7 linked regions of the Nothobranchius furzeri genome follow. The main gene of each other region encodes a partner of the protein of the gene in region 4 in a complex. Links are inferred from orthologs where the notes say so. Each region holds a gene or a part of one and is shown on either strand. Other genes may lie near its edges.

Region 1 (4,059 bases), on a different chromosome or scaffold from region 4:
AGACACTTTTTCTGCACGTGCTGCAAACAGGATAGCCGTCTTCTATAAACTGTCCCTCGGCATTCTTCAAATATTCAAAAAATGCCCGTACTTCCCACTTTGTTTTCTTTGAGGTATAATAAATGTCCTGCGCGCTGCCGTTTCCTCCTTTGGCCATTATTTCAGCTTTAGCTTCAAGAAAGTTTTGGTTGTAAACAACAAAGTGCGCATGTGCCGCTGGCAACTTCAACAGATGATACGGTGGCTGGTAAGGGTCACCGCGCCTACACCGCAGCCACGGTAAACCACCGAGATAATATAGTTTTTTTAAAAACGGACGGTTATTATTATTGTCAACTTTTTTTTATTTTACCGGGGTTTACTGCTACACCGGTTACCGTGACAACCCTACCTGATCGGTCTGCTTTGATCCATTTTGAAAACTCCGATCAAAACCGATAGGGGCGCTATCGGCCAGTTGGGATCAAATGCCGATCCATCGGTGCATCCCTAGTAGTCAGTCGCAGCTGTATCTGCTCAGTCTAGAGAGGCACCACAAAAATCACACAGGTATCAAAATATTCCCTAACCCTACTTATTAACCCTATTAATGTAGAAGTTTACACTTCCAAAATATTCTATTTAATATTTAAATTCAAACAGCATATTATATTTAAAAATCACCCAAAATTAGTATCACTTTGAGGCAACACAAATCAGTTTCTGCCATCAGAAGCTAAATCAGTACATTTCTAATGTAACATAATGAATTAATTAACAAACGATGCTGTAAAATAGTAGCATTTTACCAGTTTTTTCAAAGCAGCAACAAAGGGGCTCGATGTTTTCATCGGAAGTGAGCTTCCTGTATAACTCCGACATGGTTAGTTTCCCAACTTTAAAAGGGAATATCTTGTGGTTTTCCTATAAAGATAGGTTTGAGGTGCAAAAATGCTTAATGAGAAAATGAAAATAAACATCTTGTGGTGCATGACTTTGAAAGTTTCATTTAAAAATTGTCAACAAATTTAAATCTCTAATCACTTTGGATTGAAAAAAAAAACCTAAACAACTGAAAGATCTATTAGAGCACACAGTGTAATAATGTTGTCTCTGTGAGCTAATAAGAATGAGGCTAGGAAGTTGACTGCACCAAAGACTCAGATCATGGCAAATGTACAGCCTTCATAACCTGGAATGTTTAATCATTAAATATGACTTGGAGCTATAGTAACAGAGGAAAACGGTGTTGTATAACGCCCTGCAGCGTGAAAACATCAAATCTTACCATTATTTCCTCTCAAAAAGGCATCTCCATACTTGTTTTTGAGTTGTCCATTGACATACTCCTCCGTCTGCTCTATTGCGATGTTCATGTAACCATCCAGACAGGCCAAAACACCTGCTCAGAGACAAACACAAACTTCAGATTAAAAATAAACTTACCTGGGCAATAAAACAACAACAGACCTGAACGTGCCAGCTAGGGAAGAGGGGCATACTGTTTTTTATGCATTTTGATGCAAACATAAACCATTACAAATTCATTCAAAAATTATCAAAACAGATTTTAATAATGATCATTATTTAGGTGAGTGTAAAAGGCAGACATCTGAAGTGCAGAAGTGTGGCACATTATGGTGTGCAACTGGGATGGAGTTTGAGTCTTGACTGAAGAAATAAATACATCAAATACTGAAAAACTGAACATTTTAAACTGTAACAAAGATGTCTGAGTAGGAGTGTTGTGTCAAAAAGTGTTCCTCCTCCATGTATCTGTGTAACCTGTGTGAATCTCTCTTTAGCTTGGTAAATGAATTAATATCAACACAAACACAAATAGTTTGTTGAAGATTAAAGCAAAATTTGGTCCTCACGAAACTTTTCAAGTTTATTCCAATTACTCAGCATTTAACTGGAGTTTAACTGCAGTAATTTAACTGTTTTTCAGTTAGTGTTTGTTTCATAGTTTCTAATCCTATATGGGATTACATCATTCAACTTCCTGTCTGCCTGTATAAAGAACTTAACTGTAATGAATTAAAAGATCATTAAAAATTAAAAGTAGTTGTCAGGGGGTCATTGTCTAGAACTAAACATGAGGCAGAAGGCGTAAAAAGATGCATCAATGACTGCTTAACAAACCCTCTGATTCATAACCTAATCAAACTCTGAGAACCCTAAACATTCCCACACCTGATGCCAGCTGCATTACCTCTGTAATCAACACCAGAGTTCAGTTTGACCACGACAGGTCTCCCAATTATCTGCTTCAGAAAGTCACTCGGGGTCTGCTTTCTCAAACTCATTTTCGCTTTTATCTAAAAGAATAAAACAGATGAGTAAATCTCATTTTATCACAATAAAGAACCGCATTAGCATTACCCTAATACACATTTAAGCTATAATTGATTATCTAGTAACAAAGGCATTATTCAAACCCGAGAATATTAAAACGAATAGCTGTAGCCAGATAGTACACGCCTAAATGCAAAACTATGTACGGTTAAAACGTTCAAATTATCAAATGAGCTTCTATGTAGCTAGCGAGCTAAGTGCTAACTACCAGCTATTCCGTGGGTCAGTTCGTTAGCCTCTAATAGCGTAGGAGATTGTTTAACAATAAAGTACAATGTACAGGTATTGTTACATCATAACAGATCCTAATAAGATAGGAAATAGATGTTTTACTAGTTTTACAGATGCGAACACCGAGCTAGCAAGTTACTCACTGGATGAACGATCTCACAACGATTTTATGTTCGGCGCATTGACCAATCACATTGGAGGACTACGGAAACTATGTAGGGACAAATGTCCTGAAAGCGCAAAGTTTTAATTCGATAGACAAAACAAGAATATTTAAAAGTACATTTTAAAAATACGATATACCCATTTCCTTTAACAAGTTATTTTCTATAAATGTATTTCTAATATGTTGTAATTAATATTATATCCACTGGCTTTCATATTATAATATACTAAAGTTTTTTTGTTTTGTTGTGCATTGTTATACTTTGAATAAACTGAAGCATTAGTAATATTTCTATTATGTAACAAATTCATACAGAAAATGAGAAACTACTGTAAATATGTAAAAACATAATATTTCATGTGAATGTCTCATTGTATTATTTTACTATTCTTTTTACAAATTCAAAATTTATCTCAATGTAATGTGGGATATGCACAAATAAGCCTATTCCAATTTCAGGTACATTTTCTTTCTTCTTGATCTGTAAGTGTTCAAACGTTTAAAAGAAAGAAAGAAAGAAAGAAAGAAAGAAAGAAAGAAAGAAAGAAAGAAAGAAAGAAAGAAAGAAAGAAAACAATCTTTTCTGTAGCTCCTCTCAAGACAAAAATCTCAAGGCACTTCACAAAAATATAAAATATAAAAAAGGTTTCAAAAAATGATTTAAAATATGTTCAAAATAAGCAAAAATAGACAATTGTGATTAAAAAGGCAAAGAGAGAGAGAGAAAGAAAGAGAGAGAGAGAGAGAGAGAGAGAGGGAGACAGAGAGAGAGAGAGGGAGAGGGAGAGGGGGAGACAGAGAGAGAGAGAGAGAGAGAGAGAGGGAGGGAGAGGGGGAGACAGAGAGAGAGAGAGAGAGAGAGAGAGAGAGAGAGAGAGAGAGAGAGAGAGAGAGAGAGAGAGAGAGAGAGAGAGAGAGAGAGAGTGAACAGGAAAGAGGGAAATCAGTGAATCTTGGGGAAATGGGAAAATGTGCACAGTATGTACAGTCTATGATGTGCACTTAAAAAAGACATCTTTTCATTCTTATAAACACATCACTTGTAAGTCGCTTTGGACAAAAGCGTCTGCTAAATACATAAACATAAACATAAACATGTGCCTGGTGAAATATTTTCTTATTATAACAAACATTTGTTAACATCACAAAAACTATTGAACCAATGGAAAACTTTTTTGTAGTTGTGAAGAAGTCTATGAATAAAGTGTATGAAAACAAATAATTCTTTTAATTATTCTAACGAGTAACCAACTTCGGGTTTGTAAAAAATATTATAGACACACACACACACACATATATATATATATATATATATATATATAAAC
Region 2 (3,983 bases), on a different chromosome or scaffold from region 4:
ACTAGGATAAATATGCAGTAAAATGCTTTTCCGTGGGTAAATGTACAAATTTTACTTGCTAAAAGGTTACAATACACAATATAAATGAAAGAGGTGGGACTCAAAATTGAATAATACTACAAAAAAAGGGCTTCAATGGGGCAAAGCACAGCAAAGGTTCAGTCAAGAAGAGCAACACTGAGCTGAAATCTGTTTATTTCATACAAAATAAAAACAGTGATAAATTGTAGAGCAAAAGACTGCAAAGTAAACCAAAGCATAGTAAATCCAAAAGATGACATCAAACAATGAAATTTAAAACAAAATAAGTTATCGTCTCTTCTGGAAAATGTTGCCTCTCCCCATTCCACCACGACCTCGTCCTCTTGCAGCCACTGTTAAAAGTAAAAATAAAAAGTCAAACTCCAAAAAAAGGTATCTCTTTGGTCTGGAAGAAATGCCCCCCCACAAATCCCTATTTTCCCTACTCAAATATTTTGACTATGTTGGACTTCTACAAGAGAAGAAATTAGACAATACCATTAAACATTCCTTTGAAAAAGCCTTTTTTTCCCTTTATATTAGATAAAAAAGAATTGGGATCTGTCTTTCAAACCATTCCACCTCAGAAAATGTGAGAAGTGTCCACATAGAACACTGTTGTTACCTGTAAAAAAAAGTAATTAACAACTATTTAAGAGCCAAGCAGCTAAAGAGGGAACTAAACTCTAGCGCTGTCTCAGCATCTGGAGAAATTGTCCAAATGCTTCTCACTCACCTTGTGCTTTAAGAATAGCTGCCTTTCCTCTTCCTGCCCCAGAGCCTTGGTTCTTGTTCTTCATACTCTTTAACATCGGAGCATTCTTTAACATGTCCGGTAGGATCAAAAAGCGGATCTTGCTGCCGCGAATGTAGACCTGTTCCAACTGTGCAACCCGGCCATCGCGGTAGGTCACGGTGATGTTGGACATCTGTAGGGACAAATTCAAGTTTAGGTCCACAACAGGTGAAATGACCGTGTGAGCATCCATTAATCCAGTTCTGTTACTTATCTGGATCTTGGTGCACACAGGTTACCAAACTAGCATGGCTCAAATGTAAATTAACATTTCAGTTTATTCAACCCTTATAAAAATGTGTGCTGAAATAGAATCCAATTGAAGAGTGATGTTACTTTAGACTGTTTATTAAATTATGATGCAACAACAGAGTTAAATAACTGACTGAACTGGGTAAATCATGAAAGCTAAAGACCAACTTAAAATGAAAACCCAACATAAAAGCCTTTCTGATAAGAATGCTTTAATGAAACACTTTTACAAAAAAATAAAACTCTTCACACCAAGCATCCATGTACACCATTGTTTGGCCAAACGTTTTGCAATTTAGGGGAACACTAATCCCAAACACAAATTAGTTTACCAGTAATTACACAAACAAAAGCTTTTATGACTACATACCCCACAAAAAATCCACATTAACAGAACACCTTAAATGCCAAATTTACTGACCCAAGTTATTGTGAGTGCACAAAATAAAAATTAAATATTTTTTTTAATTTAACCCATTAAAAAGCTGCAAGAAAGGCAATTTGCAAGAGAAATAAAAACAAAATTTATTCAGGCAGCAGATGGGATTGAAACAAGCACTGACTGGATGTTTATGATCAACAGTATTTTGAAGGCTTTTCATTGACACTTTTCTTGACAATTAAAAATCACTGGAACCCTTTTAAACCATACTGCTAAACAAACCAACCTGGCAGTTCATATTGTCCTCTGCTTCTATCAGCTTGCCCCTGTACACCTCTCCAGTGTTGGTCTCACAGGTCACAATGTGACCCTCTGCCTCATGCAGGACCTTGATTGGTACACCGATGGACATGTTTCAAAGCTTTTCCTGGAACACAACACACAAAGCAAAAGATTATACGTGCTCACCCACAGAAATGTCTGCTCTTAAATATTGGCAACCCAAATCCATTTAACTTTATTGGTTAGCCGGGTTGCCCAGTTTCCAGCACTGAAATCTACAATCTGCATTACAACTAGTAGGAGAAGCAACAGAATAAGGCGAGTGAACTTTTTCATGACTGTGGATTAATACTAGTCACTGAAATTAAGACAAATAAGGAAAGACGCCCTGGGAAAACAGGTTTTGTGCAAAAAGCCATAACAAAAGAAGTGTTGTGAACCCGAACGCTACATTAATTGAAACTTTCATGTGGGACATAGTATTTAGACTTAACTAAAATGAAGGTGTTTTTATTATTTAGCATGAATTTACGCAGTAATACACTTTATAACATTACTAGAGAATAAACGATTTCGCTTGGGTATTCTCTTTTTTTAAGAGTCTGGTGGAGAATGTTTGATAGCATTCTAACCGCTAGCTCAGTTAGCCATACTAGCTAGCAAGGCTACAGGACAAATTTATCTAGAAACTACCATTAAACAATTCCAAACAGTAAATATGATTGGCCGTAAATGCTATTTACAGTTTACTACGATTAATAAGCATAGTTAAATACCTAAATATTTTACAGTAACATACGGAGTTTTGAAAATGCGCGTAACCTTAGCCATGCTACACATGAACGAAATAAATCGAAATTTCTAAATAACGAAAACCAATAGAAGAATGAGAACTCCGTTTCCTCAAACTAATTAATGTTACTCCTGTAACTTACCTTGACTTGTTCGTAAGAGTTATTTGCTTTATTGTTATTTCTTCTTGAACTGCAACGTGCGTTTGACGCTTTCGGGATCCTTTTGAGCCTTTTTTTCCGCCTGCAACGAAGGGTCACAACGAGTGTTTCCGGTGGCACCTACCGCGATGCATTGTGGGACACGTAGTTCAATAACGCCCATGGTTGAGGACTATTGAGTATGTACAGTCTATGGGACTATTATTTAGTGAAACTGACAAACTCAGCTTCTTATGTAGAATTATTTTTTTTATAAAGACTGAAACACATAAAATTAAATAAAATAAAAACTAAAATTATAAGAAACTATTTACATTTTAATCACGTTTCCTTAATTTATAATCTGTTTTTTACTTGTATTTGTTTTTAATTTTTTATGCTTGAGAAGCACCTCGCGATTTTTATCTTGGGGGCGCTATATAAAAGATTGTTTCATTCTTTCTTCTATAAATGTTGAGTTATGATGGAAATGAAAATTGATTTTCATTCTCCACAAGTAGAACATTGCATTTCTAAGAGGACTGAATATGTGTTTACGTACATCTGACTAAAGTTTAATGAATAAACTTGATTTCCATGATTTTGAAGGAAATCAGCTGTTGACTACATTTTCTGCATCGTCTAATGACGATGGGCAATTTATGCAGCTACACCAGACACTGAACTGTATTGTTTTAAAAAGCAAATGTTGATCCAGTAGCAGGATTGATTTGCATTTTCTTTCAGAAAAATAGAACAGTTTTGCATTACTTGTCATCTTGGCTCCAAGTTGACATTTACAGCTTTACATGGCTTTTCATAAAGCAGCTCAGTGTTAGGTACTTTTTAAATTCCCATGGAACATTGATCCATCATTGAATCACCCACAACAGTATTTTTATGATCTGTATCTCATGCAAATCAAAACAGCATTAGACATAAAAACAAAACATTAAAATGAACTAATTTTATCTATTTTTACAACACTGAGTATGGCCACAGTGTACTGCACAAATGATATGCAAAGAACTAGAATAAACATAAAGTACACATAATATACATACCCGTGTATGTTTGTTCCAGGAGATGTGTCTCGGGGATTGCTACGGGACACATAAAAGTGGCCTAATGCAGGTCTGTCCCACATTGAAAGAGCTTTTTAATGGGGAAAGAGAAGGCATAATGGGATAATAAAAGACATCATCAAATGAATCTTCATTTGATTTCCATTGCATTTGGCTCATTGACTGGCGTCAGCAGCCATGGCTGATCTGTAAACACCTTTCAGTGAGTAGTTTGTGGTTGGGCACTTTACGTG
Region 3 (2,569 bases), on a different chromosome or scaffold from region 4:
CTGATGAAGAGTGGATCAAGGTGGAAGTGCAACTCAAAGATCTCATTCTGGCCGATTATGGCAAAAAGAACAAGTAAGAGCTATTTTGAGTGTCTTGTGTGTTTAGAGCCAGCCTTGCGTTTTGTAGTAAAAGCTTCTTTTATCCGTGTCTAGCGTGAACGTGGCCTCTCTGACCCAGTCGGAGATCCGTGACATCATCCTGGGTATGGAGATCTCTGCGCCGTCGCAGCAGCGTCAGCAAATCGCAGAGATAGAAAAACAGACCAAAGAGCAGTCACAGCTCACCGCCACGCAGACCCGCACCGTCAACAAGCACGGAGACGAGATCATCACCTCCACCACCTCCAACTACGAGACTCAGACCTTCTCCTCCAAGACTGAGTGGAGAGTCAGGTACGTTAACTCTGTTTTTACTTCAACTTTAAATGATGGAGTGTTTTAATTCTGCTCCTCTTGACCTAACAAAGGGCCATATCTGCTGCCAACCTCCATCTCCGAACCAACCACATCTATGTGTCATCTGATGACATCAAGGAGACCGGTTACACCTACATTCTGCCCAAAAACGTTCTCAAGAAGTTCATCTGCATCTCAGATCTTCGGGCACAAGTATGCATCCATTAAGTTGCATTTTTTACCGTGCTGCTCATGTCTTGCCGCGGTTGTTGCCAACGATGTGCTGTTTCCAGATTGCAGGTTACCTGTATGGCACCAGCCCCCCGGATAACCCCCAGGTGAAGGAGATCCGTTGTATCGTCATGGTACCTCAGTGGGGGACTCATCAGACCGTTCACCTGCCCAACCAGCTACCTGGTCATGAATATCTCAAAGTAAGACTCAGATAAACAATTTTCAACAGATTTCTAACGCTTTTATAAATTTTTTTTTTTTGTTGGAGTTTTGAAAATGTTTTTCTGTTCAGGAAATGGAGCCCCTTGGCTGGATCCACACGCAGCCTAACGAGTCCCCACAGCTGTCTCCTCAGGACGTCACCACCCACGCTAAGATCATGGCTGATAACCCCTCATGGGATGGAGAAAAGACCATCATAATCACTTGCAGGTAGGTTTGATTTTAAGGTGTCTGTTCTCATTTAAAGCAGGATTACTGTGTAATCTGGAGCCTTTTTGAACCTAAACACTTACTAGACTCTTCCTGGAACATAATTATTGCTGAAACTTTAGTTTAAAGCATTTTTTCTGGTGTTTTCAGCTTCACGCCTGGCTCATGCACACTCACGGCCTACAAGCTGACCCCCAGTGGATATGAGTGGGGTCGCCAGAACACCGACAAGGGCAACAACCCTAAAGGTTACCTACCATCTCATTATGAGAGGGTGCAGATGCTGCTCTCTGACCGCTTCTTGGGCTTCTTCATGGTTCCTGGACAAGTCTCATGGAACTACAACTTCATGGGTCAGTAGCGTCAGCCTTTTGTATTGGAAAATGAAGAGTTGGCTTGTTTAGTAATCAGGTGATTTAAAATGATGATTTTGCCACCAGGTGTGCGCCACGATCCCAACATGAAGTACGACCTGCAGTTGGCCAACCCCAAAGAGTTCTACCATGAAGTCCATCGGCCCTCACACTTCCTAAACTTTGCCTCGCTGCAGGAGGGTGAAATTTACAACGCCGACCGAGAAGACATGTACGCCTAAGAGCCAGCTTCCTTCTGTAGATAGCTCTGAGAGTCACTGAGAACCACTTCAGAGATGTTCTGTAATATTTCTTTGATGTTTGAGGGTTTTATGTGAAGGCTTTTGGAGCTTTTAAGACTTTTTTTGTTCCTTTTCCCGTCTTTACAGTAAGACTCCTAGTACAAAGTGAGTTTTATTGTGGATCCTTGTAATTCCTTTCATATTTACATTGGCGTGTAGTTTTCAGTAAGCAATACTTTGATGTAATGTTTGACATTATTTCAGAAAGTTAAAGATCTACTTCCTTATTTAGCAGTGAGAAATGAAATTGAAAGTTGCTTTTTCATACCTATATTATTCAGTCATGTGTTGAGCTGTACATCCTGTGATGTTGTATCCTGGACTTAAATAAAAATCACCATTTTTATATCCAGTCTTCTGATTTGTTGTGTGCTTTTATTCCTGAAATGTAAATGTGGTTAAAGCAAAAGAGAAGGGCAGCGTTTTGTTGCATTGTAGGTGTGAGTAGGGGATATTACTTCCTCTTTCAGAGAGTGCAAAAGTCGGTCACCATAATTCAGTCAGGGATAATTCAGTCAGGGTTTAGAGATTGTTACAGCGTTGAAGGTTTTAGCTGCAGATCTTTCAAGTTGTTGCACGTTTGTGCTCTGGTTGGCCAGAAGAGGAGGAGGATCCTTTAGCTGCTGATGTGAACGGTAAGTCAGAGCAGGTTGATTAGTGTTGGTGCGTGGAAATGTGCATTTACTCAAGCTAGTTCAAAAGTTATTTTTTAGTTTCATCCGTTTCATCGTAATTGTGCGACATGGAGACGGACACGGAGAGTTGCAGCTCCCACGGCTGCTTTGGCCGGACGTTTTCCGCCCTGACCGTCGATGATGTTTACGAGATAGCCAAACTGGTCGGTGCCGAGGT
Region 4 (2,473 bases):
ACACCCCCCTCCCCCTTGCTGTTTGTGTGTGTGTGAACCTATGGTGTGAACCAGTTGTTAATAGCTGGCCTACGACTTTCTGCCTCTCTGTCCTGTTTGCTCCGGTTGAAAGACCCCCAAAACCACACCCCTTCACGTGGTCTCACACACACACGCACACACGCACACACACACACACACACACACACACACACCTAAGATTTTTCAATGTTTGTCTTATCATGTACTGTGATATAATGTATGAAATATGTCTTATTTTATTTTTGCTAAGCCTGCCCCCGTCCCACTGAGCTCCATGCAATATGAACTGAGGGCCGCTTAGGGGTGTGTGTGTGTGTGTGTGTGTGTGTGTGTGTGTGGTTTTTATGCAGTGTCTGTTTACGAACACATTTGACTATCGTGGAATTGTATTTTGAAATGCTTTATTTTGTTAAATTTACCGGCCTGCCTCTAATGTCTAGGTTTGACTTCCTGCCAGAATTGACGCGGTCCACTTGCGGCTCGCGAAAAAAATAGAGCAGACGCCGAAACGATCGCTGCAGGGCGCGCTTCGGCGGCCCATGTGGTCTATAGAATAGGATAACAAGGGCGCCGAATGAAGGCGGTCCCCTTTTCGCGGCGCTTCGGCGGCCGGTGTGTCCCTGGCGTTAGGCAGAAAATTTAAATTTTAACTCAAATGCACTAAAGTGCAAAACTATTGACGACACGGGTCTGCAGCACGATTAGACACGCATTTATATATCAGGAAAAATAAGTTGATTTGGGGGTGACTTGCTTTTTAAAGGCAAAGGTTTTATTTTACCATCATCTGTTCAGGTTTGGAGAAAAACCTCACACCCACAGTCAAAATGATTTAAAAGACTTAAATTTACCTCCAAGGAATAATTAGCCTTTAAATTTTGATCCTAATCCTGCATGAAAATGACGTCACATCCAATATTATACATTCTAGCTGAGAAAATATCCAAACCTCTGCAAAGGTCATTCTGTTGGCATGTTTCCTGATTTCTGTCAGCCCCAGGCGCTCTTTCATCTTTCGATACCTACAGTGAAAGACAAGAGGAGTGTCTGGGAACGCTGCACACACACTTATGGTCTTAAACCTGTCCGCGTGAGTTATGCAAGCTTTTAAAAACAGCACGAATGTCTGAGCGGGTTCACTGAATCCATACCTTCTTCCTCCTCTCTTCTTCCTCTGCCCATCCAGCGGTGCCGGCAGCGGTTTGACCTGCTTCACAGGTGGAGGCTCCTGCCACTTATCAAACTTTCTCTCTATCTCTTCTTTTAGATCATAGCCAACCTGAAGAAGGGACATGTTTATTCTCAATTTGTTGCATAACCAAAGACAGATTTCACTTTTGTTGGCAAAACAGATGAGATACTTGAGTCAGTTTAATGATAAATAATTTTATATTCAAGCGTGTGAGAAACAGGCACCTTTCCATCTGAACTCTCGTGAAAGCTGTCCACTCGAGATGCCAGGGTGCATTTTGCAGCCACTAGCCGAGCAGCCTTCCTTCTCAGGTCCTGAAGGGGAAAAATGATCTCCGTGAGCCAAAAGGTTTCACTTCTGAGACGTTTTAAACTAAAATAGCATTTACTGACAGGCGGCAGCGACTGCACGACATCACAGTGGTAGATAAAACCGGTGTGAGGGAGCAGGGACGTGCTGCTGAAGCCGGACAGGGTTCTCCTCTGAGCTCCCAGCAGCATCAGGTTACAAGCTGGCATCTTTGAAAGGTTGGTGAGACCACCAGCGATACCTGCAGCAAGAATACCAAAAAGGAAATAAAGATCTGAAACACCTACAACAGGTGCAAGCGTGAACCGCCTCTCACCCATAATCTTCGCAGCGGTCGATGCTCCGACAATGATGGACAGGTTCGGGGCTATAAAAGACATTCTTGACTCGACGTACTCGTAAATCCTGTGCTTAGACTGATTCAGCTCCAGTGCCATGTCACAAGCCTCCTCCAGCTGCTTCAGCTCGTCCTCGCTCAGCAAACACCTGAAAAAAAAAAAAAAAGTTTTTTTAAAGGGACTTTACGGAGTTTTGAAATTTTATGCTCGCGGTTGCCCCCTCAGGCCAAAAGCGTAATGGCAGCTTCAATAGTAGGCTCGTGCACGAGGCGTGCATGCTGTACGTGCACACTCCTAAATGAAAATAACAGCTGAGACAGTCCCTTGTGTGCGTGTGTGTGTGTGTGTGTGTGTGTGTGTGTGTGTGTGTGTGTGTGGCCCGGAGGACAGAGGACAGGAGAACACGCAGCTAATTAATTAAATAATTTGGTTCTGTACCTTTCTCTTCAGCACAGCCGACAAAGGTTTATGATGGGTCAGTCCTCCTGCATGCTCAGATCATTCCCTTCCCTTGCTTGAAAATTTGTTCCAAAATGAAAGTTGAACCCACATCTTTTTATCTGTGAATTCAATGCCGTTCGGCGAGTCTCAAATAAAAATTTGGGCGTCTTAC
Region 5 (3,559 bases), on a different chromosome or scaffold from region 4:
TTTGTCGCTTCTATTTTTCTTCCGTATTTCCTCTTGTTCCGCCATCTCTCACAGCAAGATGAGCGTCAGTAACGTGATACGTCATGAAAACCGAGGGCACCCATTGGCTCATTTCTTCTTCTACGGCTCCACTGGTAGATCAGTGGCTCATTACTGCCACACACTGGCGGCAAATTTAACAGCTTGTAACCGATGTCTGATTGTGGTAAAAAATAGACTTTATGCGGTAAAATATGATTATTAAACAACTAATCGATGACTAAAAAAGTTGTTAACTATTTTAATAATCGATTATAATCGATTAAGTCGATTAGTTGTTTCAGCTCTAGATCGGTTCCACGTTTTTTGTTCATGAGTCAAAAGTGAAACTTCTCATTTAGCTTTACAGTCCAACAAAGACTGGATGCTGGATTTTATCACTGGTTTCTGATGGTAACACTTCATTTTGTCCCAATGTTTGCACTAAATTTACTTTTTATGATAAATAAATGAAACAAGGATGTTTTTCAAACAGATTTATTTGCAACAAAGACATCTTAATTCCCACGTGAGACCTGCTTCTTTTACTAAAAACTGAACAAAGAATGTTACAAAAATATGCTCCAAAAACCTGGAGAGAATAAACAAAAGACACAAAACAGGATTTACACTTCTGGTCCTTCTCCTCCAGGAATGAGCTGCAGGAGAAATGAACCCGACATGAATCATCCAGCTGAGTGATGTTTGAGAGAGACCGAAGCCGTTTGTGTCCTACCATGGTGATGTTGTTTCCATTGAGGAGGATCTGATCCAGTTTGGTTATTCTCCGTCCTTCTGGTGTGATCTCGCTGGAAGAAACACCAGGAGATGAGCAGGATGAATGAGGCAGACACCGGTTAATAAAACAACGTACACTTACAATTCTGTCACATCCTCCAGCACCATGTCTGAAACACACAGTTGAGGACCAAATCTGAACATGTCACCTCTGAATCACGCACTACAGCTGATCAGCAGCTTTTAAGGAAGGATACTGACAAAGTCATCGAACCCCAGCAGGGTGCCGACGATTTCTTTGTCGGTTTTCATGACGATGTGAATTCGAGAGCCGATACATTTGTCCACAAGCTCTGAAAATATAACAGGTTAGGTTATTTTCTACAGTTTTCAGTTTGATTTTAACAATTTTCTAAATAACTAATGTGATGTTTAGCATCTAAAACCAATCAGGACCAACTACTAAAAATCATTTTTTCTTAAGGGAAATACTGTTGAGGTTTGTACTGCACATACACTAATTGGCCAGTAGGTGGCAGAAGAATATGACTAAATCTAACTGAATATATGTCGATGGACGAAATGAATTTTCTTGTCAGTTGTCAACGAAAGTTGTTCACGGGTGTGACTACTTTGAATTTAAATAACACAATAAGTTCAGGAGTATTATTATGACTGCTGCAGCTCAGCTTTTGCTCATGTTCAGACACGGACAGGTGTACAATCAGCACGCCATCCTCATTAAGGCACCCGAGCTGGTTTGACTTTTTCAGGTCATAACTGCTGTAAAATAGGACACAATCACTTCTTTTAGTTTTTAGACTGCCACAAATACTCCTCTGTTAAAATAAATTAGGTAAAAACTCACGCTTGAACACGAAATTATTGCTTTATCTGCAGCTAGCTAAAACCTGCTGGTGTTGCATCGAGATGTGTCCCCCATCTAAACCAGAATCTCCGGGGGTTTTCTTTAAAACTTTTTCTTTAAGCTATAATATGTTTTAAATGGTAAAATGTTCCTTATTTGACTTTTATTAGTAAATTAATGCAAGCAATAAAGATGGCTGAACTAAGCATAACCCCCACGAGTTCCTAAATTTATCAAATACATGCAACTGCTTACTTCACAAATTACACATACTGACAATTAAATCCGTACACCACAGATAATATATTTTAGCAGGAGGAACACAATCCTGTGACTAGAAATCTTGTCAGGAAGCGGGGACACGGTTTACTTCGGTGAAAAGATCTGTACGTAACACCGGCGTGATTTTACCGCTAAAACGGCTCACTTCTGTTTGCTACTCACTAAATTAGAACTGCTTGTTCGGTTCTTATTGAAATGTATCTAAAGGCGAAACTATCTGAAGCAAGAACGGAACAAAATTAGATTTTACGAACCCAGAGGGAGCAATTGTGACGGGTTTGTCGCTTGAGTAGCCGCCATGACTTTCTTCGTGTGACTGCAGCAGTCACAACCAATCGAATCAAGAGCAAATCGAATTCAGGCAAGAATAGACAAACTCTGATTTACTTTGGAATGCTATAGATAAAAAAATATACTTAAATTCCCCCACAAAAAATAATAAATAAAACATCCAAAACAACAATCACTTTAGAGGCAAAAATATTTGAGTATAAGACTTAAGTATGGATTTTGCAGCATGGAGAGTTTATTTGTTTACTTCCTGTTTCTGGTTAAGTTATGCTTGACTGATTTTAGGATTTGATCAAAATCAGATATTCGCAAGAAAATATGTCAGTAGATTCATTGGAAACAGGTTGTTATAAATTGTGTAAATGCGACTTGAACCAGTTTTTCATTTAAAAGCTAATGCTAACAGCTAATCCGTGCTCTGACCCCGATGGATCTGACAGAATCGGTAACGCAAACACGGAAGTGAGGAACAGGGAAACATCTTGTTGAAATCTAGCTGCAGCGCTGTGTGTGTGTGTGTGCGCGCGCGCGTGAGTGTGTGTGCGTGGGAAAGATTCGGGGCTCAAACTAGGCTCCGTTCGCTGTGTTTACATCCGAACCCCCTGAGTTCACAAACGCCACCGGACCTCCAGAACAGAAGACTGAGGGAAAATGGAGTCTCACGGCAGCGAAACTGAAGGGAAGGGGCCGGTGCTACACATCGTGGTTGTTGGATTTCACCATAAAAAAGGCTGTCAGGTACGAACCTGCTTCATGCTAACTGTGGCTAGCTCTGGTATAAAGGTGCATTCCTACTAAAACATTAGAATGGAGGGTTATGGTCCAGCTCACTGCAGGTGAGATGGATTTGATGCAGATGGAAATATTAATTTTAACCGTCTTTGATTTCTAGCTGTTTGTGCGGAGTTATATAACATCTCTTCTGGCTGCCACCTCAGATAATTTTCCAGTTGTTTCCAGCAGCTGCTCACCTGATCCCACATCCGGTTGGATCTCCATACTAATTGATTATCTAATGTTCAGTAACGGTGATGGGCAGAATAGGAAGAAACAACAATAATCAAAGATGCTACAAGCTTTAAAAACTGCATCAGAAATATCTCAGTTCCTCTCAAAAATGTGAAATTCGTTATTTTCCTTTCAGTAACTTGCATTTTGGTATTTTCTAACTGACTCTGAAGCAAAACTTCCTTTTATTTGGTGGCATGATTAAACCCAAGTCCTAAAGTAGTGCATATTTTCAGAACAAATATTTTATTCATACAAACATAAAAAAGAGGCTTTCTTGTGACATCACAGCAGCCACACCTCCCTTTAGCTCAGCCTGCAGGCAAACCACTTTTCTCCCACAAAACCAGATCT
Region 6 (4,191 bases), on a different chromosome or scaffold from region 4:
GAAGAAAAGAACAGGGGTCATTCAAACCAAAACAAAGAATTAAAAAGGCTTAACATCCATATAAATTAATGTGCTCTGACCTTGTGCACAAGAAAGGATGTAACAGTGCCAGAATCCTCCTGATAGTCAAGCCAGAAGAGTTCAGTCCCAAGGGTTTCAGTCTCTGAGCTTGACCCAGTTTCATTTCCTTCTTCAGCATCAGCACCGGTACCTGGCTCAGATCCACCTGGAAAAGAACATACATGCACTATCATGCCTTCGGGGCAGGAATTCCCAGTCTTGGTTCTTGTGATCTGATCCCTGATCCCATCAGTTGATCAAACTCAGCTAGAGCTCGGTACCCATTTACATCAGGCATCTTGAAGTGTGAAGCATTGGAAAACACTTGGGGCGGTGGATATTAGGGATCAGCATTTGAAAACATAGTTCAACAGAATGATCCTGGGGAGAATTACACAAATCTTACGTCTTTGTCGAGGATTGTAGACTTGGATGTCAGGTCGACGAGGTCTTTTTGGGGTTGCAGTGTGTCTTTGCTTCTTTAGCTTTTTGGCTTGCTTCACTTCCTTGTCATAATCATCTCTGAAAAAAGACAAGTGACAGTTTGATCATACAAATTTCAGTTACACGACTTTAGGTTTAGTTGTTTCCATACTTCCAGTCATTTGATCATAAACTTAAAAGTGTAATGCTGTATGTATTTTGCAATTCAAAACAAAGTAAATAGTTATTTAAAACAATAAGTTTCATGCATATTCTGCTAAAACCTGCAATAATTTGGCTAGGCCTGCAAACTTATAAATTGTTTTTAGCGGCTAAACGCGTTTATGTCATCAGCTACGACCTTTTCAGCATCCCCAAATCAACGTAACGTTTGATTAAAAGAATATCGCCTTTGAGGTTTTAGGCTGATATTAACCTAGTGTCTCATTTTCAACTAGCATTAACAGAGAGAAATTGAGGAAATTACCTACCTAGCAATCTGGTTCCTGCGGATATGGTGCAAGAAGCCATGGCTCATATCCAAACGCCCACCTGGTTTGTATTTTAGCTCATGCCCTCCATCATCTCTTAAAATATCCATGTCATTAAATGGTTGTAAAGCAATAAATTACCAATTGGTTAAATCATTATAAGAGGTCCTAATCAGACCTCAGACAAAAGCTAAATAGCACCTAGCTAGCTGTAAATAGTTGTCCAATAAATCACTTCCGGAGTTAACGCTGCAGGAACGATCACATTTAACATCTTAAATTAAAAAGTACAATAACAATTCAAGTATTTGTGTACAAATAAAACAAACACATGTTGTAAATTAACAGTTTCCTGCGCTAAAAAAAAACAAAGTTAAATTTCTGGTAGAATATTTTTCTTAACACCGGAATAGGTTTTGTTTTTTTTGTTCAGCGTACAACCACCGCGAGTTTCGACGTGGTCAGTCACCATTCATCTAAAAAATCTTCTAAATAAGTTAGTTTATTCCTATGTTGTTTTGATACCAGGCTCGCAGGATAACAGATATGATTTCCCTAAAACGAGAGAGGGAAATTGAGCTGGACGACGATGATAACGAAGACGGAGGTAAGTATGTTTATCTCTAACGTCAGTGTAACGTTAGCCGGATGCTAAGAAGCTAACTAAAAGAATTTGATTTTATGCACAACTTTGTACAGTCACTTCCTGAATGGTCATTAGACATCCTCAGTAACTAATGCATAGAATAACACTTTGCTTAATTAAAAAACATTCTGTAACAGCACAGCTATCGTGTTAGCATGTTTAGCCTATTAGCTTGTACATTGTTATGTAGCATTTTAGTTTGTCTTGTTAGTTACAATTATCATATTTTTGCAGTTGTAATCAAAAGGGGCCGAGGACATGCAGTAGAAGACAGAAGAAGTCGCCACTGCCCTTACCTTGACACCATAAACAGGCAAGAAAGAGAAACATATCAGCAACTGATATTAGCATTGCTTGCTAATTAGCACATTTGACAACCATTAACCTGTCTATGCTAATTTCCCAGGAGTGTGCTTGATTTTGATTTTGAAAAGCTCTGCTCCATCTCGCTCTCCCACATTAATGTTTATGCTTGCCTCATCTGTGGGAAATATTTTCAAGGTAGGTAAAGCTATCCAACCTTCAATCCTACATGATTAAACATGCTCGTGCACTTTGATAGCCTGGCAAGCCACACTAAATAAAACTTTGCAAAGCAAGAATTTGGTCTAGTTCACTAGGCTAGTACTTTGACACACTGGTGTTGTTTTTTTCTTGCAGGCAGAGGTCAGAAGTCTCATGCATACACTCACAGTGTCCAGTTTAGCCATCATGTGTTCCTCAACCTGCACACACTCAAGTTTTACTGTCTGCCAGATAACTATGAGATCATTGACTCGTCATTAGAAGACATCACGGTGAGTCATAGTATTGTTTTGTTGATCTTATTATGCCACAAGTGTCTATGGTTACAAAGCCTAAACATTTCCTGTTTAACAGAGACTGCAAACTGGAGAAAAGTTTTAAAAGTTTTAAGCATGTAGATGTAGATTCTCAGTCATCCAGGACATTTCAGTGCTAAGACTCTTGGGATGTTCCAAAAAGGGTACTTCACGATTCGATTCAATTTCGATTATTGGAGCTTCGATGCTTCGATTCTTCGATTATAATGATTTTTGGTTCGATTCGATTACTGGAGCCACGATTCTTCGATTATTGACATTTTTAATGTTTTTTCATACAAGATTGTCTTCTATTTTATCTACATTTGTAAATAAATAACCTATCAATTAATTCAGTTCCTCTACAACTGCTCTCTGTAAGTAAATACATTTTTTTAACATTTAACTATTTTTCAAAGACAAATTCTTATTTTATGACTGTATGACGTGTAAATATTTGCACTTTGACAAACTTAACTTTGGTCAGGGAAAGCTTTACTTACACTAGTGTCTCCTCCATTGTTGGGAAACACTGAAAACAGGCAAGCCCTGGATTTAATGAGGTAATTAATTCAAGTAAACAAGATTTTTACTTCCACTGAATTTATTTAATGGAAACTTAATGAGTCTGGCATATGATAACATTACAAAAAAAGCTGCCATACAGATCAAAAGTGCATTCCTCAAAATAAAATAATTCAGCTTATTCAGTCTGGAATATAGGTAACAGAAAAAAACCTGCTATATTTGAAGGTAATATGTTGCATTTTTTCTGAACAAAAGTGCATAATTCAACTGAACCTGTATTCAGCTTGGAGCTTCAGTACTGTGAGGCGAACACAACAAAATAGAGCAGAGTGACACTCATACTCATCTTAATCTTAGCTGTCTTCCCATACTCCCTCCCCTCCTTCTTGTCCCCTACATCCTCCAGTTGTGTGAGATGGGTAAATGTCAACATTGTGCTACTTTGACCCTCACTCATCTCTCGAGTTTGAAGAACGTGGCTCACCAACTTCCACCCGTTCTTGTCCGGCGCGAGAACAAAATGCGCCGTTACAGTAACGAAGGATTTGGTGGCAACCGATGTCCATGCATCGCATGTGAGCGCTATCCCGGTTGCCTTCTTCATGGACTCCAGCTTTGGTTTCCTCGTAGAGGTGGGGGACTTCCTTTTCTGCGAAGTGTTTTCGGTGAGGAAGTTTCTAGCGCGGCTCCATGGTGCGCACCACTAACTGAAACCCCCTGTTGTTTACTACTGAATATGGGCGTAGATCCGTCGCGATAAAAGTAGCTATTGCTTTTGTAATGCTCCTCGCCTTCTCTGAGCTCTTCGGTAGTTTGGAGACAGTCTCCAGGATGGAGAAAGAGGTCAAAGAGGTAGTGCCACTCACTAAACAGTCCGGGCGGCGCGTGCGTTAAGGCTCCGGTTACGTGTTTTTATTTTTTTTTAGTACCGGCGTTGCAATAAAACTTTGATGTTATGTTTTTTTAAGCATTGACGTTCATTAATCGATGTCGAAACAACATGTTTAGCTGTTAGATGCATCGCCACATCGATTAATTGCACCCCCCCTATAAGATTCTAATGGAAAGTAACTACCTGGAGATGTCTGAAGATGTTTCAAATTTTCATCTGACTCAGATGAGTGTTGGAGATCATTTTAACTAATGTGCTCAAAATTCAGTTGGAGACTAACCTTTTAACTCAAATCAAATTCAAATTTTATTTGTCACATAAATTCATACA
Region 7 (3,898 bases), on a different chromosome or scaffold from region 4:
CACTATTCTAACCTACTTTTAGGAGGTTTCACATCCAGTTAAGTAAAAATTTTGCCATTTTAAAAAACAGCTTCAGTTATCTCACTTAAAACTCATCAGCATTTTGTTTCTGCGTTTCTCCAACGCCAAAATCTACTGAAGATCCTTTCTTTCAAAAGGAACAATCCATAGATATCATTACTTTACACCCCCACCCCAGCTTAATGCATTACTGACTTAAAAGCTGTTAATGCCACATATGTGTCTTTGTGAGTGTGCAGACAAGCTTGAACGGTTTATCTTCAAACACAGAAACTCCCTTTAAACCTAAACACACTCATCTTTTTTTTTACTGCAGAGTTCAGTAGTCTGTAGACCCATCGAGTCAGTCACAACCAGCAGGTAGGGGACGTCTGTCGGGTCAACAAAACCACTCAGATCCTTGTCACCCTTTCGAATAGACCATATCTGGTGTAACTTTCCAACACGTCCTCTGTGTTCAAAGGAGAAAAACATTCAGATTCAGCTTTTTTTCCACTTTATTTTCTTATCAAAAACAAAGAATAGTAAAAAGTTCACTCAGATAACAAGAAATTTGTTTTAACACTTTCAGAACTGGGAGCTCCTCACAACACAAAAATGAGCAAAATTAGCAGGGAAATAAAACTGAAGTGCAACGGAGCCTTATTTTACCAGTGATGAACTTAAAACATGTTTGTCGTCTGAATGACAAGTGTCCTGTAATGTTAAAAAAGAAAAGTCTAATCAAAAGTGTGCCACGCAGCAGCATGGGGGTTATCCATCTTGCTGCTGGATGAATGGGTTAGGAATGGCCTCCATGCCATCCTGAGGACAGATCAGCACCACAGAGGTTCCTCTGCAGACCACCAGCCCCAGCTGTCGGGTGTCTTCTGTCAGCTTCAGCTGGTCGTCTGGATCTGCACACAAAGCCACAGAACGTTCACACTGGAAATGTCAAGCAGCTGGGTGTCCACCAAGCATTTTACCGGAATGCACTCAAAACTAAAACATGAATGGTGAGACCTTTGATTTTTTTGTTTTGACCATCTTCAGTTCAGATGTATTTTTCAAAGATGTTAAGTCCACACAAGACGACCACTTGTAACAGCGATAAAAAACCAACAACATTTGATTTGTTATCACTGTTAAAAATCTGCTTCGACCACTAAAGAACAAACCTCAAACTGAAAAAAGCCACTCATCTTTTGTTTGGGGATTTTTAAATCAATTTAATTTCCCCCCACATGTTTCTGGTTTTTGTTCCACCCGAGTGGCCTCCATGACTCCTCTGAATATTAGCTCAACCCTCCCCTCCAAACACTAAACTGAGAATTAGAAACTTGAGCATTTTTCCAGTGTTTGTTCAAACTAGCATCACATTTTCAACAAATCCACAGTGATGGTAGAGGAGATAGGTGGAGTAACCTTACAGGGTAAGAGCACAAAAAACACAACCAGCTACTTACCTTTACCTGGAAACAACACACTGTTCCAGTAGAGAGGTGTCTACACAATGTTTTCTGTTTGTTTGTACAAAAAGAAAACAATTCCACAGATGCTTTTACACACAGACTTTCTTAATTTTATGAAACTGAAAAATTAATCTTACATACAAGGGCGTGATTTGAAAATTTGGAAACCTTTTTTCAATTTGAAGCCCAGAAAATCTCTCGGATTATTTGATGTTTTAGAATGAATTATTTAGAGCCTGTGAATTTTCTTCTTTTAAACATAGCAGCAACATGTTTTTGTCTACATGTAATTATATGTAATGTTCGTCCACTGAAGATAATCTAAAATTATGTTGCTTTTATTGTCAAACAAGATTAGCACGCACGCACGCACACACACACGTATTCCTGATAATTTACTGAAAAACAAATTAACTCAAAAAAGTGAAGTAGAAAAATGTCTCTTAAACATGCTCTGAACATGAACATAATGTTTTGATCAACATGCTTATTTTCACTAACTGTAGATCGTTTTAAAGATGACGGTAGGGGCGAAATTAATGCGAATTATTACTTTATAGTTATGTGTGTTGGGGAACTTCGGAATGTGTTCAGGAAAAGTCCTTCATCGATATAAACATGGACTCAGACTGAGGAGCAGTTTTCTGGCTGGATTTGAGTTTTGGTTTTCTTACCACGCATGTATTCGATCGTGCCGTCCAGCACCAGGTTCAACAGAGGATCAAATCCTTTCAAAACGCCGCTTGCTGAGAAGAAAACACAAATTTTAGGCTTCCACATAAGGAAATCTAGACATTTACTGCTTGCACGAAATGAAAGGGTTAGCAACAGCTTGGTCCACCCACCCTCTCGTCCACCTTGAAACTTCACCCGAATCGTCTTGTCGATATACTTGGACAAGTCGAAGATGCTCTCCTTCTTTTTCTTTTCTTTATCCTGCAGAAAGGCCAGGTTACATTGTCTTAAGTCACTAATTAATCACAAACAAAACGTAGCCTTAGCTTAGCTCACTACTAGCCACGTTATTTAAGTAAAACGTCTACCGTCACAGCAAAATAAAAGTTGTTCAAGTCGACTTTTGTTCAGAAAACAAAGCTAAATCTTAACAATACAAATGTGGATGTGAAAAGATAAAAAGTAACACAATATAATGAAAGCCATGGATTACGAACTCACCGCCATATTTACTGTCTGACCCGGAAGTAAATCTTAGACCCTAGGAAATGATAGTGATCCAATGAGATAACGCGTTCAGAGGGTTCAGAGAGGTCCAGCTGTAGACCATAAAAAGTAAAATGAAACAATATTGATTTTTGTAAAAGTCTCGGGACTACCATCTCTACTAAAACGTAATGAGTTAAATACACACTCATGTGATTGTCTTAATACGCTGTCAGGCTGGGAAAAACGTTCATCTTTCTCAGCTGCATTGTGCGTTAGCTAATAGCTACAGGCTACAATCTCAGAAGAAATCTACGCCCTCCAGTGGGGATAAACTGCAACTACAATCAGGTTCTAAGAAGCTAGAAGGGAACGTTCTAGTCTCATGGCAATGAAACTGGGGGGGGGGGGGGGGGGGGATCATAATCTGTATTTTTGTTTCTTTTGGTTGATGGAGATGGAGAAGAGAAAACTGCCTGTAAATTCTTTCTAAATAAAACGCTATAACACTTTTGTTATCAGCGAGTGGGAAACTCGCTCTAACAGCCTTTTTCGTTTATTATTTAGCTAAATTCACAATCAAAACAGTATGTAACAGTGTTAAAAACTATGCTAATACTGAGTTCACAACTAAAGACAGTTGGGGTTGCCGATCAGCTTGTATGTTTTTGGTCTGCTGGAGGAGCATGTACCCAGAGCAAACCCACACATGCATGGAGAGAATGAAAGGCCGTAGCCAAGGTTTAAACCTATGACATTGTTCCTGTGAGTCACCAGTGCTTCCAACTGCCCCACAATGAAACCCTTTTTAAAATAAAATGTATACAGATGAAACTCAAAAAATTTGAACATGGTTCAAAAGTTTATTGATTTCAGTATAAAAACCTAAAAGGTGAAACAAATTCATGAGATAAACTCATTCTATGCAAAACCAGATATTTCCATCATTTATTTGTTATAAGTGTGATGATTATGGCTTACAGCTTACGAAAACATCTAAAACTAAATATCTCAGACAAACAGAACGTGCGAGAAGGTTCAATACTCTAGACTCAAAGTGTCGCACTCTAACCAGCTAATTAATCAAAAACATCTGCAAAGGGTTCCCGAGCCTTTAGATGGTCTCTCAGTCTAAGATGGATTATTGAAATAAGTGAACTTTTGCACCATATTCTAATTTTTTGAGTTTCAGTATTGTTATTGGGAAAAAAATCAATAACCAATAAAGGCTCTCAGCATGGAGCTTGCTCCAGTCATTGACATGA

The links.
Region 1: prpf31 (region 4) and lsm6 share a complex: the UniProt entries of both Homo sapiens proteins name them as parts of the U4/U6-U5 tri-snRNP complex. The link is inferred for Nothobranchius furzeri from reciprocal best matches to the Homo sapiens genes PRPF31 and LSM6.
Region 2: prpf31 (region 4) and snrpd3l share a complex: the UniProt entries of both Homo sapiens proteins name them as parts of the U4/U6-U5 tri-snRNP complex. The link is inferred for Nothobranchius furzeri from reciprocal best matches to the Homo sapiens genes PRPF31 and SNRPD3.
Region 3: prpf31 (region 4) and prpf8 share a complex: the UniProt entries of both Homo sapiens proteins name them as parts of the U4/U6-U5 tri-snRNP complex. The link is inferred for Nothobranchius furzeri from reciprocal best matches to the Homo sapiens genes PRPF31 and PRPF8.
Region 5: prpf31 (region 4) and lsm5 share a complex: the UniProt entries of both Homo sapiens proteins name them as parts of the U4/U6-U5 tri-snRNP complex. The link is inferred for Nothobranchius furzeri from reciprocal best matches to the Homo sapiens genes PRPF31 and LSM5.
Region 6: prpf31 (region 4) and usp39 share a complex: the UniProt entries of both Homo sapiens proteins name them as parts of the U4/U6-U5 tri-snRNP complex. The link is inferred for Nothobranchius furzeri from reciprocal best matches to the Homo sapiens genes PRPF31 and USP39.
Region 7: prpf31 (region 4) and lsm7 share a complex: the UniProt entries of both Homo sapiens proteins name them as parts of the U4/U6-U5 tri-snRNP complex. The link is inferred for Nothobranchius furzeri from reciprocal best matches to the Homo sapiens genes PRPF31 and LSM7.

Annotation. Positions count from the first base shown.
Region 1 is NC_091744.1:10,586,904-10,590,962, forward strand, and holds the start of lsm6 (U6 snRNA-associated Sm-like protein LSm6), read right to left. Parts: upstream 2,801-4,059; 5' UTR 2,712-2,800; exon of another isoform or gene 2,671-2,711; intron 2,651-2,670; exon of another isoform or gene 2,546-2,650; intron 2,301-2,545; 5' UTR 2,289-2,300; coding exon 2,195-2,288; intron 1,382-2,194; coding exon 1,268-1,381; intron 904-1,267; exon of another isoform or gene 789-903; intron 1-788. UniProt on the Homo sapiens protein: Plays a role in pre-mRNA splicing as component of the U4/U6-U5 tri-snRNP complex that is involved in spliceosome assembly, and as component of the precatalytic spliceosome (spliceosome B complex).
Region 2 is NC_091746.1:48,714,996-48,718,978, reverse strand, and holds snrpd3l (small nuclear ribonucleoprotein D3 polypeptide, like), read right to left. Parts: upstream 2,801-3,983; 5' UTR 2,669-2,800; intron 1,879-2,668; 5' UTR 1,864-1,878; coding exon 1,738-1,863; intron 951-1,737; coding exon 758-950; intron 375-757; coding exon 310-374; 3' UTR 179-309; downstream 1-178. UniProt on the Homo sapiens protein: Plays a role in pre-mRNA splicing as a core component of the spliceosomal U1, U2, U4 and U5 small nuclear ribonucleoproteins (snRNPs), the building blocks of the spliceosome.
Region 3 is NC_091753.1:37,695,469-37,698,037, reverse strand, and holds the end of prpf8 (pre-mRNA-processing-splicing factor 8), read left to right. Parts: coding exon 1-73; intron 74-153; coding exon 154-393; intron 394-467; coding exon 468-609; intron 610-689; coding exon 690-830; intron 831-922; coding exon 923-1,062; intron 1,063-1,212; coding exon 1,213-1,415; intron 1,416-1,502; coding exon 1,503-1,657; 3' UTR 1,658-2,069; downstream 2,070-2,569. Other genes in the region: rilp (RILP-like protein 1), read left to right, coding at 2,460-2,569. UniProt on the Homo sapiens protein: Plays a role in pre-mRNA splicing as core component of precatalytic, catalytic and postcatalytic spliceosomal complexes, both of the predominant U2-type spliceosome and the minor U12-type spliceosome.
Region 4 is NC_091745.1:76,605,409-76,607,881, forward strand, and holds part of prpf31 (U4/U6 small nuclear ribonucleoprotein Prp31), read right to left. Parts: intron 2,009-2,473; coding exon 1,839-2,008; intron 1,764-1,838; coding exon 1,606-1,763; intron 1,528-1,605; coding exon 1,438-1,527; intron 1,301-1,437; coding exon 1,173-1,300; intron 1,044-1,172; coding exon 971-1,043; intron 1-970. UniProt on the Homo sapiens protein: Involved in pre-mRNA splicing as component of the spliceosome. Required for the assembly of the U4/U5/U6 tri-snRNP complex, one of the building blocks of the spliceosome.
Region 5 is NC_091747.1:62,679,641-62,683,199, reverse strand, and holds lsm5 (U6 snRNA-associated Sm-like protein LSm5), read right to left. Parts: upstream 2,285-3,559; 5' UTR 2,207-2,284; coding exon 2,161-2,206; intron 1,110-2,160; coding exon 1,014-1,109; intron 927-1,013; coding exon 899-926; intron 828-898; coding exon 755-827; intron 678-754; coding exon 645-677; 3' UTR 501-644; downstream 1-500. Other genes in the region: late secretory pathway protein AVL9 homolog, read left to right, coding at 2,849-2,935. UniProt on the Homo sapiens protein: Plays a role in pre-mRNA splicing as component of the U4/U6-U5 tri-snRNP complex that is involved in spliceosome assembly, and as component of the precatalytic spliceosome (spliceosome B complex).
Region 6 is NC_091757.1:46,437,229-46,441,419, reverse strand, and holds the start of usp39 (ubiquitin carboxyl-terminal hydrolase 39), read left to right. Parts: upstream 1-1,391; 5' UTR 1,392-1,520; coding exon 1,521-1,581; intron 1,582-1,854; coding exon 1,855-1,933; intron 1,934-2,026; coding exon 2,027-2,121; intron 2,122-2,280; coding exon 2,281-2,417; intron 2,418-4,191. Other genes in the region: c17h2orf68 (UPF0561 protein C2orf68 homolog), read right to left, coding at 81-226, 467-582, 975-1,084.
Region 7 is NC_091748.1:58,320,411-58,324,308, forward strand, and holds lsm7 (U6 snRNA-associated Sm-like protein LSm7), read right to left. Parts: upstream 2,759-3,898; 5' UTR 2,655-2,758; coding exon 2,649-2,654; intron 2,409-2,648; coding exon 2,318-2,408; intron 2,219-2,317; coding exon 2,147-2,218; intron 918-2,146; coding exon 775-917; 3' UTR 501-774; downstream 1-500. UniProt on the Homo sapiens protein: Plays a role in pre-mRNA splicing as component of the U4/U6-U5 tri-snRNP complex that is involved in spliceosome assembly, and as component of the precatalytic spliceosome (spliceosome B complex).